Linked DNA regions of Drosophila melanogaster. The protein of the gene in region 2 interacts with the protein of the main gene of each other region in a pairwise test. Each region holds a gene or a part of one and is shown on either strand. Other genes may lie near its edges.

Evidence for each region.
Region 1: the proteins of CheB42b (region 2) and Tsp33B interact in a two-hybrid assay, tested with the Drosophila melanogaster proteins (one large-scale study listed by BioGRID).

Annotation. Positions count from the first base shown.
Region 1 is NT_033779.5:11,786,235-11,797,137, forward strand, and holds Tsp33B (tetraspanin 33B), read right to left. Parts: upstream 6,132-10,903; 5' UTR 6,070-6,131; coding exon 5,317-6,069; intron 5,142-5,316; coding exon 5,034-5,141; intron 4,979-5,033; coding exon 4,859-4,978; 3' UTR 4,791-4,858; downstream 1-4,790. Other genes in the region: CG14931 (uncharacterized protein), read left to right, coding at 2,308-2,356, 2,419-2,543, 2,600-3,097; CG14932 (uncharacterized protein), read left to right, coding at 3,770-3,771, 3,825-3,881, 3,942-3,980, 4,038-4,076, 4,136-4,192, 4,249-4,702; CG14937 (uncharacterized protein), read right to left, coding at 6,397-7,712, 7,792-7,813; crol (crooked legs), read right to left, coding at 10,891-10,903.
Region 2 is NT_033778.4:6,938,535-6,948,864, forward strand, and holds CheB42b (chemosensory protein B 42b), read right to left. Parts: upstream 5,462-10,330; 5' UTR 5,453-5,461; coding exon 5,216-5,452; intron 5,150-5,215; coding exon 4,973-5,149; intron 4,813-4,972; coding exon 4,636-4,812; 3' UTR 4,562-4,635; downstream 1-4,561. Other genes in the region: mim (missing-in-metastasis), read right to left, coding at 748-809; CheB42c (chemosensory protein B 42c), read right to left, coding at 6,160-6,336, 6,407-6,583, 6,640-6,876.

The DNA.
Region 1 (10,903 bases), on a different chromosome or scaffold from region 2:
AACTGTGACCAACGTCAGTCCAGAGATAGTCGTTTAAAAATGCTGAAAAAACGAAGAAAAAGGGCGATAATGGGATTGTGGTATTTGAAAAGATATTGTATATTTATATTGCTATAACAGGTTTATGGAAGAGAAGAAAATGACGGAAATCTGAGTTCCAGCACTCTTTACATGAACACAAGAAGAAATTGTTTTTTTTTTTCCTCAAAAACTAACAAAAAATTTGGTTAATTATTAAATGTTTTATTTAAAAAAAAAGCTTAAGAAGCCGTAAACATCAGATGGAAAGGGTCGGAGCGTAGAATTAATGTTGTGTAAAGTATTTCCGAATCATTGATTAGCCAGCTCGAAGGCCGGAAACGCAGCAATGGCCAACGCGGCGTATGAGTGTTGCGCGAATATTTCAGCAGTCACGCAGCACTTACAACTGGCCATGTTCAAGGTATTTGCGGGTATGTGTGTGCAGTCGTGTGTTATTTGGTGTAAATTATATGGCCGAAAGATGCAAAATTAGCCAAATAATGGCTGCCTAATGTGCCGGAAAGCTGGCGAGCAAAAGTTAATGGCGAAAATCCTTTAGTCCCCCACCATAATGAAAACATAAAACGGAGCCACTAAAAGCAAATCGACAGCGGCACATATTTGCTAATCCAATAAGTGTTAGCTGCTTCACTGCCTGCGAAAAGGGGTGGGGCATTAAAGGGTTAAAGGAACGCATAAAATTTGAATACATTTTCGCCACTCAGAACGCTTAAACTCGTTACCTTAGCTAACGCAAATAATTCAAGTCGACGTTTTATTTTATTTTTTGTTGCCCTGTCAAACGTGTTTCGCGGTAATTGAACGGACTTTAAATGCCAGCCAAAAACTGTACAAAATGCGGGCTAACACAAACGGCTTTGGTCCAGGTTTTTCTTCTATTCTCAATTTTTTTTTTTTTCATTCTTTTTTTTATTTATTTGCCTTTGACGTGCCACTAAAACTGAGGTTTGGGTGGGTCGACGGCGAGGGGAAAGTAAAGCCAAATGCAGTTGGGACTCAATGGCGACTCCTATGCAAAAGAAGCAATGCTCGCCAACGCGACGACATCGAAACTTTTCCTATTTTTTGTGCTTTTATTTTTGGTGTCGCTGGTTTTAACCAGCAAAATAATTTGGTTATATAGAAAATAGTATCAGGAAAAAAGTTATGCCCAAAATATAACAAGAAAATAATGTAAATACCTTGAAAAATATGAAAAACCAAAATAAATTGTATAAAATATGTAAATATATGGAATATAATAAATTATATATTTTTGTTTTTTAAAAAACTTAACAAGGTACACATGTAACGTAAATTCTTTTTTTAACCTATCTAAATTAAGGCACGAAAAATTTACGAATGCTATTAAATAGGTTTTCATAAGCCTGCATATTTCTGAAGCACCCCAGTCCGTGTATGATCTCAAAATATTCAGGGTATTATGACTTTCCATGGGGACAAAGTCGAGCTGAAAACTGCCCCACAGAAAGAACAATTTTCGGGTCGAAAAGGCGCTCCATGGCAGCGAAAATGGCAAACTGACTTCAAGTGGCATTTTGACATTTTGTTGAATTTCAACTCGCTTTTCGTTTTGGGATGCAACGATGGGGTCCGAGGTATGTATGTAAAAAGTGAAAGGGGCGTGTTCAGGGGGCCAGAAAACTCGCAGGTGGCTGGGCATGCAAACGAAATGCAAAGAGACGCATATTTTTTTACTTAAATTAGAAAAACAATTGCCAGCGTTGTGGGTAGTGAAAGCTGCAACTTTGGTCAGCAGGTTGACCACACAAAAAGTTCGCAAAGTATTTACTTTTTTCACGATGCATTTCAACTTCGCAGAGCTGGTGTTAAAACTTCGCCATTTTGGAGCCCAGCTTTTTACCCATAAATTGTTTTTTAAGTGTAATACCAAACGAAGTTTAAAGGCTTTTTGTTGAGGTAATTAAAAGACTGGACTTAAATTACGAGGAAAACATATACAATTTTATCAAGTTACATTATAGAACTTAATCACTTATATCACTTTATAATAACCACAACATTTTCAGAGCCTTATCGTTTTTTTTTTTTTTTAAATAGTTTTTAATATTTTCACATACAACTCGAAAACTTGTTGCACCATCTCTAAGTGTGACCATTACTTGAGATCACATCTTAACTATCGATATGGCGTTATAGACGATTTCAGTTTGGCGAAAAGTTCCGTTAGCAGCAAGAACAAGAGCAAATGCATTGTAACCACATAATATTAGTACTAAAGTTGTTGTTTTTGTCCCATTGAAAATGGAGTTACGCAGCCGAACAAACAGGAGATTAGTTGACTTCCTCAAAAGTAAGATATTCTAAATTAGACGTCCTTAACATACATACATATATAACTAACTATTTGCTCAGGCGCAGGCGTTTACGAGGAAGGCATGGATATTGAGGAAATGACCGAATTAGCAAGTGTCGTGCAGCAATCAGCTAGTATCAGTCCCCAGGATGAGGATCTAGAAAGGGCTCTGCACGTGGGAAAAGTATTCAGTTAACAATAAACAATAAATAGTAATTAGCTTCTCATTAATGTCGACAGGAGAGCGAGTCTGATTTTTTGACTTCGCATCCCAGTGCTTTGCACAACTCCACGATGATCATGTCGCCGCAAGTGTCCAGAAGAAATCCCTCAGACATGGACAGTCCACCGAGCGAGCCGATCCGTATAACTTTTCGGGCTTTGGTGCACCGTGCCATGGACTGGAGTCCCACCACGGGCAATCAAATTCCCGATCGCAAGCGCATTGCTGCGGATCGCAATCAAAACGTCGAACTAGTTGGCAAACGTTCCAGAGCAACGCCGGCTATCAGCATTGGCCAGGCACCGGAGGATGAGCCGCACAATGCCGACGCCACACCCGTTTCCCCGGGCAACGAATGCGACTCCGGCGTCAGCTGGGAGGAGATATCTTTGTCCAGCGCCAGCGATAGCACCACTCTTCCTTCCATCGGCGAAATGCCCGATCGACATTTAATCAGCACCAGCAGCGTCGCCGTCTCGGATTTCTCAGATGCCAATGAAATCAGCCAGGAATAGGCTATTTCCGCCCATGTCTTGTGGTTTATGTTTCCCAATCGAATGCAGTAGAGATTTTACAATGTTTATAGCCCACATATGTCTAAGAAAGAGTACTCGAATAAGTTAACTATATGTCACATTAAAGGATTGAATTTATTGCATAATTGTGGCTTGTGTTTTTGGTCGAGCTGTATTTATTCCAATTCCAGTTTCCTTAACTATTTAGTCATAAGCATGTCAAGTTCAATAAAAACGAACACCCAATATATAAAAACATTTCCAAAGGTGGAATTAAATTGTGATGGCTTGACTTTACATAAATATGTATAATTACATTTGTATTTGGAAGTTTGTAAATTAAGCCTGTTGTACAACACTGGTACGTCTTTTTATAGGAATTTAAACTTTTTATGTTTAACTGCCATTTTAAGGCTAAACTTAACCAAAATTTTAAGGCTCAAATTTACCAAAACCTTTAGTATAAATTTCTATTTTTACTAAATGTTAAGAACACGTGACTTGAGCTTTAACTGAATTTTATATATTAATTACATATGCTCCAGTAAGTTTTCAACAGTATTTTGATCAACACTGATGTTCTTATTAAACATTCCTTGGAGTGGACACACTGGCCGCACGGCTTTTCACATTGTCATTTTCCAGGAGCTAGGCGTTGAAAATTTGTTAAAAATGTAATTAAAATTAAAGCAGTTCATTAAATATATTGATGGATTATTCATTGCAGGTCCCAATCAAAGGTTCCTCATATTGTGGGCGATGATGATGAATATCAAGAAGCTACGTAAGACTTCATTAATTTAGCTTCAGAAAAACACTGACAATATATGTATTTCCTTTCTAGTGCTCCCGAAAGTGACGAGATTACCTGCGAGTCTTCTGTGTAAGTCTTTTTAATATAATGTTTTGATAGATTATTTTTAAGTTGCCTTATAATCAGGGAAAGTGATCAAGATGATGACTGTTCCAACGAAGATGAGTGAGTAAATTTAATGTTATAAAACAAAATCATTTTTCTTCATTTTGTGAACCTTTTAGTATGGATTTGGATGGGGCAGACTGGTCCCCATATGTCACTTATGAGGCGGGTACACCGTAAGTTATAGTTTCGTAATGTAGAACGTGGAATAACGGGTTCGGATTCTCTACAGAAGACGTCCCCACAGTGCTTTGGAGATTACCGAAATTACCGAGTTTCCGAAAATTCCAAAGAAAAACCCCACCTCACCCGAACTGGTGATACAGAAGCCAGAGACTCCGGATCAAAACGACTCGGGATCTCAGGAGCGTCTCACCTTCTCTCGCGCCAATAATGCGCTATCAGAGTCCATTGGAGCTCGCGTTTCCCAACGTAGCAGGGGCAACTTGGAACCATTCATCCGTAGAATGGCACGTAGCCCTACGCCCGAGGCCTCAGAGGAAAACGGCTCGGTATCACAAGGTCAGCTGCTGGCCAAGCCCGTGGATGTCACCGAGTTCTTTCACCGCATTGCTGTGGGTCTCGTCGAGCAGCGCGTCTGCTTGAAGCCTTTCTTGGCATTGCGCAAACATATTGCTCAACTGGTGGGTCAGACTTTGAAGAAATCCAAGAGGATGCGCCGTTAATCCATTTAACATCCAATGTTACAACATCCATGTAATAAGTATCCTATAATATCCAATAAATAATATATTGCGTTCACCGATTGGATATGAAGTTAACTCAAATTCGTAAATTTAATTAAATTAATATAAAATATAAAAGTAAAATTAAGCACAATATTAGTATCCACACGGTTCGTCGTCCATTTCGGTGCAATTGCAGTAGTTAATATCGGGAACGTTGTCGGATACCAGATCATCCTCGGCAATTGTTACACAGCGCACGTTACACGGATATTTCTGGGGAATGGACTGATTTAGGTGCTATCGATGGATAGTAAATGGATAAACCCACCACCACGACCAAGGGATGTCCATCATCGTCCGTGAGTCCCACATTATCGCAGCCATCGCCCTCGTTCTGCCGGTGAACTATGAACTTGGTCATACAACAAAGCACGATCTAAAAAGATGATTGACTTAGGGAGGTCTTATCTTAAAATACAATTTTGTTGCATATTCAAATTTTTTGATTTCAATATGACTTACGCTAATGAATTTGACAGAATTTAATGAATATGGCTCCAATATTCACCATTGTTCTGACTTTAAAACGTTGCCCATTACCAATTACTTACCAGAAACTTAAGGGCCAGGACCCATAACGCCATCAGGATGTAAAAGCAGTTCCACACCGCACTAACGAACGCAGGCAAGCATCCGTTCGCATTGATTGAGTCCACGGTGAGAGCGGGAAAAGGCTGCCGGCTATTGCCACCGATGGACTGCCCCTCACTGGGCAGGAAATTGTTAAAGCAGCTGTCGCAGGAGCGCTTGCAGCAGGCGAAGGGTGCCAGGACCATCGACGTGCAGTTATTCTCCCGCCGTGGCATCCACTCCGCGTTCATCCAGTCCTTGTAGCCATGCACCCCGCAGCACTCCTTGTGCCACTGCAGTCCGTCCCACAGGAGTTTCCACTCGGGACACGAGTAGTACATGTCGATGCCGCGGGTCAGCGAGGTGTCCGCCGCATTCTCGAGGACATCGACACCCCGGTAAAGATTCCAAACGCACCCGAAACCGGAGGCAATGATTACGCAGGAGTAGAAGGCCCACACGGATAGCAAGAGGCGAATGTTCGGCGTGCAGCGACGCCGCCAAATTCGCCGCCACATGGCAATGCTGCAGAGAAAGGTCACCACCACCTGGGCGCCAAACACGTAGATCCCAAACAGATAGCCGTAGACCAGGCGGCACTCAATATCCGATAGATAGCCGGTGAGCACGGTGTGGTAGTAGGCGGTCACCACCAGGATCAGCAGTCCGATCACGGCCTCGGTTATTAACAGCAGGTGGAGGTAGACGGAGGCTCGGCGGAAGGGCTGGCGCATTTGGTCATCCTCGTGGGCATCGATCCAAAGTTTGGCTTGTCGACGAGGTTTTAGCTCTGAACTCGAATTTCATTTGGATTGACGCTGATTGCAAGGACTTGGGTGTTTGAATTTTAAAGTGTACTACAACTTGAATTTAATTTTTTTTATCCCTAAGGGCAGTAAAAACAATGATGCATTGAAAAATCGCTTTACAAATATGTATATTTACATCTTTTTATTTGGTAAGCAGTTGATAAATGTATACACTTAACTATATTTCAGTTTAAAACCTTTTCATTTTGGAGCTTGATCAGTTGGAGCATATCCCACTCATGGGGCAGCGGTTTACCGCACAAAGCTAAACTTGAGTACGCCAGATGTGTAGTCCGTATTGGGTCCAATCTGTTTTGCATCCACCTTTATCAGCCTTATGTTATCAACGCAGCGCGAACTTTGAACTATTTCCGGATTGATATCGCTATGCCGGATCCACAGCTCTAGAGGGCGAATGCGCCAGCTTTGCTTGGCCAAAATGGCAATACACCTCCAGACGAAGGATTCTCCATGGCAGAAGGTTCGAGTGATGTCGAGGACTCTCAGCTGTCGACAATTGATCACGAATTCCAGCAGGCCCAAAGGACTCTCCAACTGATAGCCACACAAATGGAGTTCGGTTAGCTCACCCAGTTGACTGGCTAGCTGCCGCAGTATCTGATCCCCCAGGCACTGCACCTGGACGCCCTCCTCCTTCTCCTCCTCTTCCTCTGGCTGGCTGTGCAGCTCCAGTCGCGTCAAGTGACTAAGATTTCCCAGCTCCCTGAAGAACCGGCCATAGTCGTGCAAAACTCCACTGAAACTAAAGGCCTCAATTTGTCGGCCATCGCCGGGAGGACTTGTGGGACTAACTATCCTCGATAGGACATCAAAGACAAAGTTCCTGGAATAGATCGACAGCTTTCGCAGGTTTGGCAATGTCAGTAGTTGCTGCGTAATATCCGACTCCATACACACGTGGTAATCCGCAATCTTGATATGCTCCAGTGTGGGACACAGCTGCAGATCCGCCAGATCACAGCAGTTCACCTCGTCACAGTCCTCCATTATGTCAAATTTGCGTAGTCGCAGCTGCCGGAAGATGTCCCTAAAGTGTTGCGATTCCAGAAAATGGCAATCATGCAGGCGGAGATCGGTAAGCTCATCCAGGTCGCATAGGTATTTTCCGGTAATTTGGCAGCCTCTAAGTTTGAGGCTTTTTAGATTGGGAAATACCCTCTGCAGCATTCGCACATCCTCATCCACGAAGCGAACGCGTCTCCGTCTATACACATTGCCCAGCCACTCGAAAGAGTGAATCCTCTCCAGCGTGTGGTTACTGAGCAGTCGCAGTCTTCGGACATCCAACTGCTTGCAACTCAGGTGCTGCATGTGCGGAGCCAGGGCCAAGATGAAAGCCACAAACTGTCGGGAATTGGCTCCCGAGCGTCCGAACATCTCGTCCTGCAGGACAACGTTGCGAACACGGGTCTCCCAGAGCATGTGCACTACGCCCGCCAAGCGCCTGTTCAACCTGCTAATCTGGAACTGCTGGTACGTGTCCAGCTGGCGGATGATCAAAGCCAGGACATCGTCATTCAGCTGGAGCAGCGTTACTGCAGTGGGTTCTAAAAAGTTGAAGGACGATCGTCTTAATAGGCTCAGTTGTATTGTTTTTTTTTTTTTCGTTTTTAGCCAATTCCTTACCTGTATCGCTTGCGGACGTCATCTGCGGTCTGTTCTCGATCGTGGTACTTGGAATACTAATGAATTCACGCAGTTGCCACGGTCAGTAGTCCGATGCTACCTAGTGCGAAGGTCATTTAGGGGTGGGTTTCCAGGCAGATCGGGCGGAATTCGCGCTACCTAAACGACTTATCCTTTTGGAGATGGGAAAACGAAGCGATAGTTTTCGGGGTATCCCAGAGATACGAAATCATAATAATATCCTTAACCAAAAAATATAATTCTACTCAGGGTTACTCAGTTTCTTGTAAAATCCGGTTTTATGCTTATGCTGCGCGTTTTTGCTGCTCATTTATTTGTTTTGTTTAGTGCTTACTACTTCATAAATTTTAATTACATTTTACTCGTAACTTGTACAATATATACTATATATATATATATTTCATTTGTTGTCCAATTTCTGTCGTATAGGCATATATATTTTAGGTATATATAGTGTTGTATTGTATCTGATTTATAGTACATTATTGTTTCTATTTAGTATTGTTACTGTTTGTTGCTTTTAATGTTTACGTTAATTGGGGCATTCCAAGCGTTTTCTTCAGCTTCTGTTAATTTTTCTCCTAGGAAACATTTTTGCCGCTGTCCCAGCGTTTAATCATTAAGGTTAATGGGTATGTGTCTGTCGATCAGTGAGTGTGGGTTGTGGAGAAAGTTACCTCTATTCTCACGGCTTGCACTACGCAACTTACAAGTAAATTATTTCGTTTGTTCATTAATATTGCAACACAAGTGAATTGTCTCCATAAACTTGCCTTTCACGTACTACACATACATATCCGTTATATATTAGTCAATAATCGTACAATAATATATATCTCTATATGCATTCTATATACTGCGCTCTATACACATCACCAAAAATCCAAAAACACCCAAAAACTAACACGGATACTCAACTACATAATTATAGACGTGTGATAGTGTGTGTTTGCGACTTCGAAAACAATTATTTTCAGTGTGAAAGCAAAATACATGCATATCAATGATAATTTCATTTTCAATTTTCAATTGTTCCCTGCATTCTAAGTGTATTCAAAATGTGCACTTTGCTGCGATGATCGTGAATCAATAAAATTAGGTTAAATAAAACCAAGTTCTGTCTTTAAATGGTTAAACAAACAGTTTTACATTTTCCGTTTATTCGTGTACAGTTACAGTTTGTTAAATTAAATTAAAATTGTATTTTAAGCATTTAATTCTCGATAATTAAATGTATAAAATGTTGCATTTAAAAGGAAGCATAATGTGTGGGTCGTGTGTCTGTCAGTTTGTCTGTGTATTGTTTTCTTACTAAATTATTAAACTTTGACTCGTGTTTAATATACTTTTTTTTAGATTTCTCTTCCTTTTTTGTAAAATTTAAAGCAGATATGTTGTTGCTTGTGGCGCTTGGGGATTTCTCGTTAATTGTTTCACTTTCTTTTATTTCGTTACGGCTTAAACTTGTTCTTAATGTTTGTTGTTTTCAACACAAGCACAGTTAAGGGTTATAATTAATTTTAGAGTTGTGCCTAGTCGTATATATGTATATGTATGGGTTGTTGTTGTTGTTGCTTGTTAACTTTAATAGTGGGGTAATAACTTGTTGTTATAGGTTTAGTATTCCATATATCATAATCGTAATTGTAATTGTAATCATAATGATTGGGCGACGCGCCCAACTAAAAACTACTCGCACTCCCACGCGGGAACTCCTATCTCCATTCCTTCGATCCGTGCTTTCAATCATTACTTTTAGTAGTTCAACTAACATTAAATATAATAACTTGTTTGTTTAATCCCTTTTCATTATCTCGTTAGTTGGGTCTGCCGTTATGCTGCTTCTGTTTCCACTGTCATATAATTGTATATATATCTCATAATCATCACAGCCCCACTTTCAGGGCTCGATATATTGTAAACTGGGTTAAGGACTACACTTGGCCAATATATGTGAAAGTTTTCGCGCGTTAGCTCGTTATTAATGTTCCTCCTTGGAAAATGCAAAAATAATACAGTTGTGATAATAATTTTCGATAGATTTCCAAGGGTCTTGTTGCGTGTTATTTACAAACTATAAGTATATATTATAATTGTATGCCTATGCATATCTGCATATGTTTATGTATGATGAGGATGCTTTCTATGAATGTCGCTCCATATGGATATAATCATAACTTAGTCAAAACACAATAAAAATACAAGATGGTGCGCTTCTGCTGGTTACGGCAACAAAAACCCCTTAACTTTAAGTGTCTAGCGAGAAAATTGCCTGAGACGGATTGGTCTTCGGATCCATTTGATTCACTGAGCGCAGCTAAGGAACAATCGGATATCACAAAAACCATATCGATCGACCCAAACAAAGTCACGCGCCGCCTGGCACACATTTCAAAAATGTAGAAAACACGTGAATAAAATTAGACGCTAAGCGCCTAAGCATTAAAGATACACATAAAAGGGAGAGATACCAAGAACAAACTATGAGATGATTCGTATTGCACGTTAAAGCTGGCGGCGGCAGACTAATTGAGGAGTGTTTAATTTGCTTGCGATTGGGACACATATCTCGTTGAGTTTCCAGGGTGATTTGATTATTTTAAATTACTTGATTTAAAATATTTCACGAATTAAAATCTTAATAATTGATAACAAAATATTTAATTACCATCAATTAAATTTTGGGGCTTTAGAAGACTGGACATTTTAAAGGCAATACTGTGCCATTTCGTCCTAAAAGTAATATTTACCACACACGCTTGCTTTAAAAATCGACACACCCTAGAAACCCAGCGTATCACGATATCCGCTTGGGGCCACCGATCAGCGTAACCAGCGCGCTGCTAAAACTATTGTACATACAACTAGCTGCTTATATGGGGTGCGCTTGTTATGATGTGTGTCCTATCTAGAGAAGTCGCGTCAGCTCGGCTCACTAGCACTGGCTCACTGGTGGCACGCATGCCTTCACCACGCCGCTTGCGACGACGCAGTGGCCGCTGTGGCAGCTATTGAGGTGCTGGTCGTGCTGCTGGAGTGGGCTGTGGTGGGAGTGTAGCCGTGCAGGAGGGGCTACTGTTAGTAAACAACC
Region 2 (10,330 bases):
CCAATTGCCCGTGGGCGACATTTCAATTAGGCGAAAGCTAAAAAAAAAACACATGGAATATCCACAGTCTCTGCAGTAACTAAATATTTGAATACCCTTTCCGATGAAATATGCTAAGAAGTAGTAGGTTCTCATACGATTGGAACCATAGTAAGTGATAAGCTAGTTTAACAAGCGCTGATTGAACTAATTGCACCTGCTCCGCTTTTGGCGTAATATACCCACATCTAGGGTATACAAAAGTGGTGCCCATCTGGGCGTCTTGATCCGGGCGTCCTCACCTAGCGGGGAATCGGTCAAGATGTGTGTCAAGCGCAGTGGGCAAGCACTCGGAGCGAGTTTTGGCAAGCCCCGTGATTTGAACTCGGACAACAGGATTTGGGGTAGTGATTAATGCAGCCGCTATTTGGCGGCGGCTATATACTTATGCCCAGACATTGCCGCGAGAAAATTTGGGCCAAGTCTGAGCATAAAAAGCACAGAGAAAATAAAACAAACAAATGCCACCCCACGAGCAGAAATTTAGCAACAGCAGAAAGAGCACAAAAATAATCATAGACACATTATATGTTTTACGACTGAGTGTGAGGAAGTGGAAAGCATAAGGGCAAGCATTTAGGCAAACAAATTTGTTTATTTACACGCAGTTCTCGTTCTAAAGTTTTGCAACTGCGCTCGTTAGTGGGCTGCTGTTGAAATATCATTTTCCAGAATGGAGCAACCAATTCACACCCAAAGTAAACTCACCTCAAACAAGTGTGCAGTTTTCCGGCCTTAGCCACAAAATCCTCCCACAGGGGCGAAGTGTTCTGCAACAAAAAAAGAGAGTAAATTAGTTTAACAATTGTATAAAATATTTTTGTTCCATTATATTGGGACTTGGGAACGAGTCGTAGGTTTTACAGCCATAATTAATTAATCAAAATTTAAACGAAACTAAAAAAATGCAACTTACTATAGATGTAGATGACAAAAGTGAAAAATTTTCCATTTAAGATAAAATATATAAAATACATTTAAAGGCGTGATTGCCCAAAAGTTCAAAGTTCATATCGTCATCGTTTTTTCGCTGGATTAAATCTAATTGAGTTTGACTTTTGTTGTCTGCGCATTTCATTAAATGCGAATAAAGCAGAAAATTATGGTGCAAACTCAACGAGCAAACAACCCAAACATGACATCAACGAATAAGCAAAGTGAGAGACACATTTAATGTAATCAAAGTGGGTGAGCTCCGATCCATATGGCTCCGATTGAATACGGAATCGAGCAATCCCCTAGGGGAGATGCTTTTAATTAAGTTGCTGAGGTAATCTGGATTAATCAAATTTGCATATTAATAAGACTTCTAGTAAAAGAGCGAGAGTACAAGTCCAAAAGAAAGTCGTCATCATCATTATAATACAAGATGGATTGATTGGACTTTTATGAACATGGGGAAGTTTCGTCAATAATCCACAAGTTCTCCCCTCAATAATCACTGGAAGCTCATATTTGGCCAAAAAGCGAACTGAAATGGCTCCCACATGGGTTTTTCTCACACAATCCTGTTCAGCCAACTTACTTATTTGGTCAAGACCACAAAGAGCTGCCGCTGGCTTCTGGCCAAGTATCAGTGTCACGATGGCCGAACGGCAGCAGATTGTTAAGAGGCAGCCGTAAAAGGCCGCCAAAGACTTTATGTGTGCTTCTTTCTTTAAGAGAAATAATAGCGAGTGAGGACGCGCAAATGGTCAATAAAAGCGAAAACGAGTTTTCGTTTTGTTTTGTTTTGGCTCGCTTCAATTACACAACATATGACATTGAAAATAAGAGCCAGACGAGCGAAGCAGCCAAAGATCGAAAGCAGCAGGAGGCGTCTGAATGAAGACATAAAATGTTCCCATTTGGTGACCACTGTGATAACAGGAGCAGATTCATCAAGCCCAAATAGCAACTGCCAATTGCAGTTGCATTTAACTTTCGGTTTTTGCGCAATCGGGCAGTAATAAATACCATTAAAATGTCAATTGCTAAATCAAAATCGATTTCAATGCAAAATGCCCAAAAGAAGCCTGAGCTCTGGGCCATGGCAATTGCATAAACAGCACTGCTCAAAGGTAAACGAACGAACGAGACAATGGCAGCGGAAAAGCCGGGAAATGCGCAAATAAATGCAACAGCTCAAGCAAAAACTTAACGGAAATCGATTTTTGGCTATTTTTGCCAGCTTTTATTTATTTATTTTTTTTTTTTGTTCATATACTCGTTTTGCCATGCAACCACTGGGTGCAACAAAAACCCTAAACAATTGCCAGCTCCACAAAAACGAATTGAACGCGGTATTCAAGCGATGATAACGACTTCTTTCCCCCTTTCACAAAACACCACATGCGACATGAAATAAATAATAAATTGGGTTTGAAAAAGTATGTTCGAAACTATTGTATTGGGAATTCGTTCGTTTCAAGTTAAGGCAAAAATACAAATACTATTGATAATAACACTTTAAGTACTTTTCTCGTGATATCACCATCGTATAGATTTAAATAAATTCAAAGAATGTGATGTGTGGGATGATAGAGAAATCGAGGAAAATCAATAAATATCCAAGAAAAATCGCGACAGAATAAATTCCAAAAAGACCAAAAGCGACCAAAATTTTTCAAAGCCTATAAGCTGATTTTTTCAATGATTGAACCACGTTTCCAAGACGCGGCCCACATGCAAATTATTATTGTTTATTTGTTGCAAAACCATTTTTTGTGTGCGACAGCCGACCGCCAGCGACAGCTTGATAAGCGGTTCTTGCCTCGCATGCGTGGGCAGCGTCTTGTCGGCGTTTTGTGAATGAGCATTTTGTAGTCGTGGAGCGATATAGCCACCACCAATAAGCCAGCCATCCACTCGCGGGCCAAAACACGCGAAGCTGTCATTACGTTGACCAGGCCCAAACCATTCGCGTCCGCGTTGGCGTGGATGTTGTGTTTCGTGCTAGCGTTGGGAGAGAGCTCAGCTGGTCCTGATCCCAGTGTTCGGGCATCGCCTTATGAATGGGCGAGTGGAGCTGGATTGCCTAGCAGCCAGACGCATAGTAAAAGTGCCGCAGCTAACAAAACCCCTTTTCAACTTAATTTCAAGATCCATTTAGTTAGCTACTGAAATTGTTAAATGTTTGTCTTAGCGGTGGTTTGAATGCATTTACTTTTTATTCATTGTCCTCATATTTCTAGAGTATTTACTGTTTACTGTTTAGTAACCAGTCATCGAGCTGAAAGATCTCGTTCCCGCCAGTTCGTGGTTGTATTCAAAACACTTTCCAGTTTCCGTCAGACATCGAAATCGAGTCTAAGCGCAGGGGAAGACAGCGAGTGCAATGGACGTGGTGCATCCATGCACATATAGTACACCACAACCGCTCCATGTGTATCCATTTATCTTGGCAAGCCAACTCGGCCGGGAAGTGAGCTAGACACCTAAAAACCCACAATTTATGCCAGTCAGAGCAAACTGGAAAAGTTCACACAACCACCACGAGGAGACCCACACCCATGCACACAACACACAGCTAACAACAAACGTGTGGCTGGCATTATAAACTCTTGATCTTTCCAATAGCCTACAAAGGCTGCCCACACGGACCGGCTCTCCAGCTGGTTCACAGCCCCATTCATGCTGCAATTTTGTTGCTATTTCGGTGCTGCTCCTCGATAAGGCCCCAAAGATTCCCAGCAGCGGCTAGGTGGATAGAGGCGGAGATGGCCAAAAAAAACGGGTTCAGAGCCATGCCGTCGCCACGTCCTACATTGCCAGCTTTTTGGGTTGGCGAACAAAGCCACTGCCTCCAGAAAGAGCCGTTTCTTATGCTAAATCCAAGAGCCTGCCTGCGAAGCAGAAGTCCGCACTGATTGATTTTCTATGAGGTCCGACGTACCATATACTATATAGTATAGTGAGTGCCCGCGGCCATAATTTCGGCTTTGGCCAGATGTTGACTTTACCGGATTGCCCGGAGCGGCCTGCACAATCGTGCGCTGCTAATTTGCACCTAAAGACGGTCTTTGTTTCTGGCTCTTCGGTTTAGAAAGTAGAAAATTATTCGCCGGGAATATGAAATGAAAGTGTTCCGAGGCTTACCTCCCTGCCGTTTAAAAGTTTTCGCAAATCTGTAAGAAACATTTTCCGTGAATTGGCAAGAGCTTTGCAAATTGACAAATCGATTGCTGCGATTTGAATCGATCGGAACTTATGCCAATCATCATCGGGTAATCCAATAACCGACAATTGTATTTGCATATTCCCCATCCAGCAACGGCAGTCATGACCCCAAAAAAATGCAGTCAGTATACGGTTCTCCTTTGTCTGCACGTCGTTACCCGAGAAGGTACTTGCCACACGCAGCTAGCCGATATGGAAACCGCAACTTGAACTCAAGTTGCCGTCAACGCGTGCCACCAACCACAAAACAAAACGAATCAAGAAGTTAACTGATTGGGGATATGGAAGGTAAAACAAGCCCCTAAAGTTATGAGATCTGTTAAAACACGATGCAATGTTTAAATTGTTATTGAATGTAGGAATTAAGAACACTATGTTTAATATTATACAATATTGAAAAAAAAAATACACATTCAACAAAATAGTCTATTGTTCCAACTACTGCAACTTTAGTGGTTCTCCTATGATCTCCAAACAAATTGGGTTTGGGCGCGGTATATTCCTCTCATCTAGTGCGTTAAACAATATGACAAGTTTATGACGTCCTCTAAGAAGAGGTCCACGAAAATTCTCAAATTTTAGTATGAGATCGAAGGGCTCGTGTACCAGAACGGTCTGTAAGAAATCAGAATATTTTCAAAATATTGTGCAATAAAAAATGGTAGTGTCCTTTGCACACAACCATATGAATAATCTGCATCCCATATGAGAACTATTCCCATATGCTATTATATTCCACCGTATTTGGTTGTCAAATTGCTTGAACTCCACTTACATCAGGCCCTCTGAAGCACTTCTTTTCCACCTCATGGCGATTGGTTATAAACCTTGTCCAATACTTATACCAATACTGGTTCTTGTCGTACATGATGGAGCAAAAGTTCTGGGTGGCCATGCTAAAGACAGTGGGCTCCCAAGTGCCGCGGTTGAAGTGAAAAACATCAAGTCTCGCCTACACGGATGCAAGAGTTTTGATATTAGAATCGATGATTATTCCGAAGCTTGCAGTTTGTGTTACAGTAATCCGATCGGTGGGCTGCACATCCCACACGACGGTGGCGTTCCCGGATACATGAAGTATATCCCCTTTCTGGTCGATTACAATGTCGTCTAAGTTGAGTGCCTGGCGGATGTTGATGGATCCGGGAGGACCATCAGTGCACGTCGAAAATATGTCCGGATCCTCGAGCAATAATTCATAGTCTGTGGCCCAGGAACTGGTCACTCCTAATAAGAGTAGCAGCACAAATATCATGATGACCATAGAACCGAAAACTGTGAGATCCGACCCCTTTATAGCCACTGCCACAATAGAGTTTTTGATATGTTTTATTTATACACCTTTTAAAATGATGACATCTAATCATGGTATGCCATCGTACATTGATTCAACACGCAACAATGTAACAACCATCTCCTGTTAATCAGACGTTGTCAAACTCTAACAATATAATTGGCAAATCACGTTATGTGACCCTTGAAAATATTCGTGCTTAAACATTGTAAAACAAGATGTTTTAATAATAATAACTTTTGGGCTAGAAAAAAAAACAAGTTTGAAACAAAAAACAAATTCCCCAAAGATTTTCTTGGCGATCACATATCCGTGTGGGCGTGACAGTTTTGGGCGGTTTTTGGTCGTTAGAGGGTGTGGTAGAGTAGGCGTGGCAATCTTCTGAAAGTACTTCTCTATAATCTGCATCCCTTATCTTATCAATATAGCTTTTATAGCTCCCGAGATCACATACGGGCATAAGGTTGATCAAACGAAAAAAAAGGTTCGCGTCACCTGTTACACACTTTGTACCAAATCAAGTACATATATCAAGTTCAGAATAGTTGATATATTTTATTTATATTTATATTTTTAAGATTGCTTTTTATTTTCAAAATATGTAGATATTGGGTTTATATTGTTTTTTAGGTTACTGATATCGCGCCTTGAACAGATTAAGCCCTTAATTAATTTATCTTCTCGGCCTCTCCCCTGATTTCGAAGCAAATGGAATTACGGCGTGGCACATCCTTCTCATCGACCGCCTCAAAGGTGACCACAGCTTTGTAACGACCCCTGAGAGTTGCACCACGAATGTCCGTTAGACGCAGCTGCAGATCGAATGGATTGTGCATTATAACGGTCTGTAATGGAATCCCAAGGTTAAAGTCACCGCGCCAGAGATGGACTGTTTTGTTTGCAGGGAAAACTCACACCACGCGTTTTAAAACACTTCTCCATCACCTCATCGCGGTTCGAAATGTGTTTGGTCCAGTACTTAAACCACGACTGATTCTCATCAAACATTGAGGCGCAGAAGTCCGGCGTGGCCATGCTAAATACAGTCGGTTCCCAGCTGCCGCGGTTGTAATGCATTATTGCAAACCTGGCCTTAAAAGCAATTGTTTATTAATAATCTTATTTCGTATAAGGAATGCGGGCATTACGGATATGCGATCTGTGGGCTCCACATCCCAGATTGAGGTGACACTCTCGGACAGGTGAATGATGTCCATGTCCTGGTCGACTACCAGATCGCCAATATCGAAGGCATCGTGGAATCCAATCGATCCCGGCGGCGGTTCAGTGCAGGGTGAAAAGATATCAGGGTCCTCCAGCAACAGCTCGTAGTCTGCGGCCCAGGAACTAGCAAAGCCAAATACGAACAGCATGAGAGTTCTCATGATGACAATAGTATCACCTGGTGGGATGAGACCCTTTTATAGTACTTGCCATCATGATCTCTTCTATCATTGCTATCATGTCATCATGTATCCACTCGACATGCAACAAAGTTACAACCATTTTGTTTGCCAGACATTATTTTAAATCGACATTTAAAGCAAGAAGCTCACTTCAACCATAACAAGTTTCGAGGAAATCAGTGCCAATGAAAATAGTCCTTATTAAACGATCAAAACAATCATTCCTGTTAATCTTATATTTATTAAGATATATAAGCTAAATACTAAAGGTTTTAGCCATTAGCATAACAACTTGTATGCCAAATAGGCATTTAGATTGTTATACTTGTAAAAGTATAACCTTTTGTTCTTCTTGAATTCAATGCTAAAATCTTTGTAGGCTCCTTGATTAAATTAAATTTTTACTTTTTTCATCGAAAATTAAACGATTTCATAAATTCCGTAACTATTTTGCATAATTGGGTGCGACAACTACACACCTACAACAAGTCAAATGGACACTTTCCGCAATTTAATCACAGCTTGTGAATCACAAGTGCAATTTCATATTCATTTTAATTAACTAGCCTTGGATTGCTGTTGAAGCTGACATCATACATGCAGAGCACTCGGCACAGTTCAAAACACCAAGTAAGCTATGCACATCAGTCGTTCCACATTAACAGAGGGAACAGCATCTAGAATTGTTCCCGCAAAGTTATTTATGGAATAATGCAAAGTAATTAATACAACTAAGATGATTCTCATGCTCTCCAATTGTTTGTGGAGTCTGAAGGGGAAATGCATTCCGCATTCTTGTCTGATCTCAGATTTCACTGTCTCCATGTGGGAGGAAGCAGGCATATGGAACGGGTTGCAATGGTGACCTGCGTCAAGATCTAAACAAAAAATGATTTGTATATTTTATCCATTTTTTCCGAACATAGCAGCTAGACATAACAATTGTACACATTAACACAATTGTTTTCAAAGCTTAAGGACCTTGCTCCACATATGAACTGAATGATGGCATCCTGTCCACATCCTGTTCGGTGCCACAGTGAACTGCCACTTCCAGTTGAGATTCAGCCTTGAAATGGCTTTCAGACTTTTCAAACGCGCCAACGCTAGAGGGACAGGGGGAAGCTCACGGGGCATTGTTATAGAAATGGAAACAGCTGCGAGTGCTGCCATAAATAAAAACTTATTAGGTCTTGTCGATGGTATTTCACTATATAGTAACTCGTCTATAAATAAACAAAACATAGAAATTGACTTTCGTCTTATAGCCCACGCAACCCCAGGCGTAAGCCAAACGCACAGAATCGAAAAGTTCAATGAAAGCAATTAGTGAACATTTTTAATAAAACTATTTTCTAAATATAAAAAAGAAAATTCGCCCAACGTGGGGCTCGAACCCACGACCCTGAGATTAAGAGTCTCATGCTCTACCGACTGAGCTAGCCGGGCACTTGTGAAGATCGCCGATAAAAGCTCACATTTGCTGATTAAGCTTAAGAATCATACAAATTGATATAAAGAGAATTTAAAGGATCAAAATATTACCAAGAGAGAATCAATAGCCTTTTAAAAGTAGCCAAAGAATTGTCGCCAATTAGCTTGCAACAAATAAGTTTAGGCCCAAATTTACTTTACATAAATTACATTGACAATATAGAATATTTATCGTAAATATTCAACTCATAACAAAACAAGAGAAAATGTTTTAGTCTAGTTTCCCGACTATCAGATACCCGTTACTCAGCTAGTGGCAATGTCAACTAGAAATTTCCTTATTTTTTCTGGCTTATCGATTGATATTGGGGAATAATATGAGAAAAACATAAGAAAATGGTCGCAAACGCTTCCTTCTGCCTGGTACATACTTTTTAACGAATATAGTATAAGCAAAGACCCTAGAATTCTAGTGTTATTATAGTAAATTCTAGTTATTCTAGTGTCTTTGGTATACGGGTATAAAAATTATAAATTACTTCTATAAACACATTGCTAAATATGAGAAAGCATATTTATACATGCGCATATAAGCCGGATTAAAGGCAACGGGCGCTTTGCTGTCAAACCTAGAAACATTGTTGTAATACCTTTAGCCTTTTGTTTTATTCGAAATGGTTATGCAGATTCACAAGATGCATTTGTATCATATATACACAAACTATTTTTAGCTTCCAAATTAATTGGGACTCATTTTAGGCAAATTAAATATGCTTAATAATTTTCCAATTAGTAAAAAATCAATTGCCGAAAGTGGAGCTCAAAAAATGTTTATTAATTGTATATTAATTTTGAATTAAAATAAAAAACATCGCCCAACGTGGGGCTCGAACCCACGACCCTGAGATTAAGAGTCTCATGCTCTACCGACTGAGCTAGCCGGGCATGTGTTCTTGACATCTGACTGTCAAAATCATCGAAATCGTAATAGTTTTAAATTTAAACTTATACTATAAGCTTAAAGAATAATGGTGGTATAAAAACCCTGTGGTGCTAAAAACAAGACGAAAGCGTATTGACTAGTCCCTCGCCCATCTAGTCAAGTTTAAAGCCCATTTGCATTTAGATAAAGATCAAGCCAGCTTATCCTTACATGCATTTTTATCTACCTATTTAAAAATAATTCTATTCAGCAGGTTTTGACAAGATAAATAAATTGTAATTTATAGATAAATTGATTTATAAAAAATCATAAACCATAATAAATCATTTATATAATTATATGTACATGAGCACATCGGCTTTAAGCCTAATTAGTTAAGTAAAGGATATGTGATAGTCGAGAGTCTCGACATAATGGGTTTCCTCTGGTAATCAATTAACTATTAAAATTTGTATATTTACTACAAAATATTGGTCGCCCAACGTGGGGCTCGAACCCACGACCCTGAGATTAAGAGTCTCATGCTCTACCGACTGAGCTAGCCGGGCAGGTAAACAAAATTGCCGTCTGTCAAAACTCGGGAAAATATATCAAATGGGGTTAGGAACTATAGACATGCGTCTAGTATTTTGTTTAGAAATGAAAAACAAGATAGAATTCTAAAGTCGTGTTCCCTGACTATCAGATACCCGTTTCTCAGCTAGTGTGAATGCGAACGCGAAATTTCATAATTTTTCTGGGATATTGATAGATATAGAAAAATTGGAAAGGTTTAGAACGTTAGAGTGGACGTGGCAAAAAGTTTTTTTTTAGCAAATCTATAGAAATTTAAGCAACTAATAACATTATGAAAAAATGTCCAACAATTTTTCAAATATATGTGGGCGCAGCCGATTTTGGCGGTTTTAGGGCGTTACAGTGAGCGTGGCAGCATGGGTCAACAAAATTGCCCTGCGTCTTTGTCTCAAGTCTCTAGAATCTGTATGCTGAATCTCAACCTTCTAGCTTTTATAGATCTCGACGCTCATACGGACAGACGGGCATGGCTAGATCGAC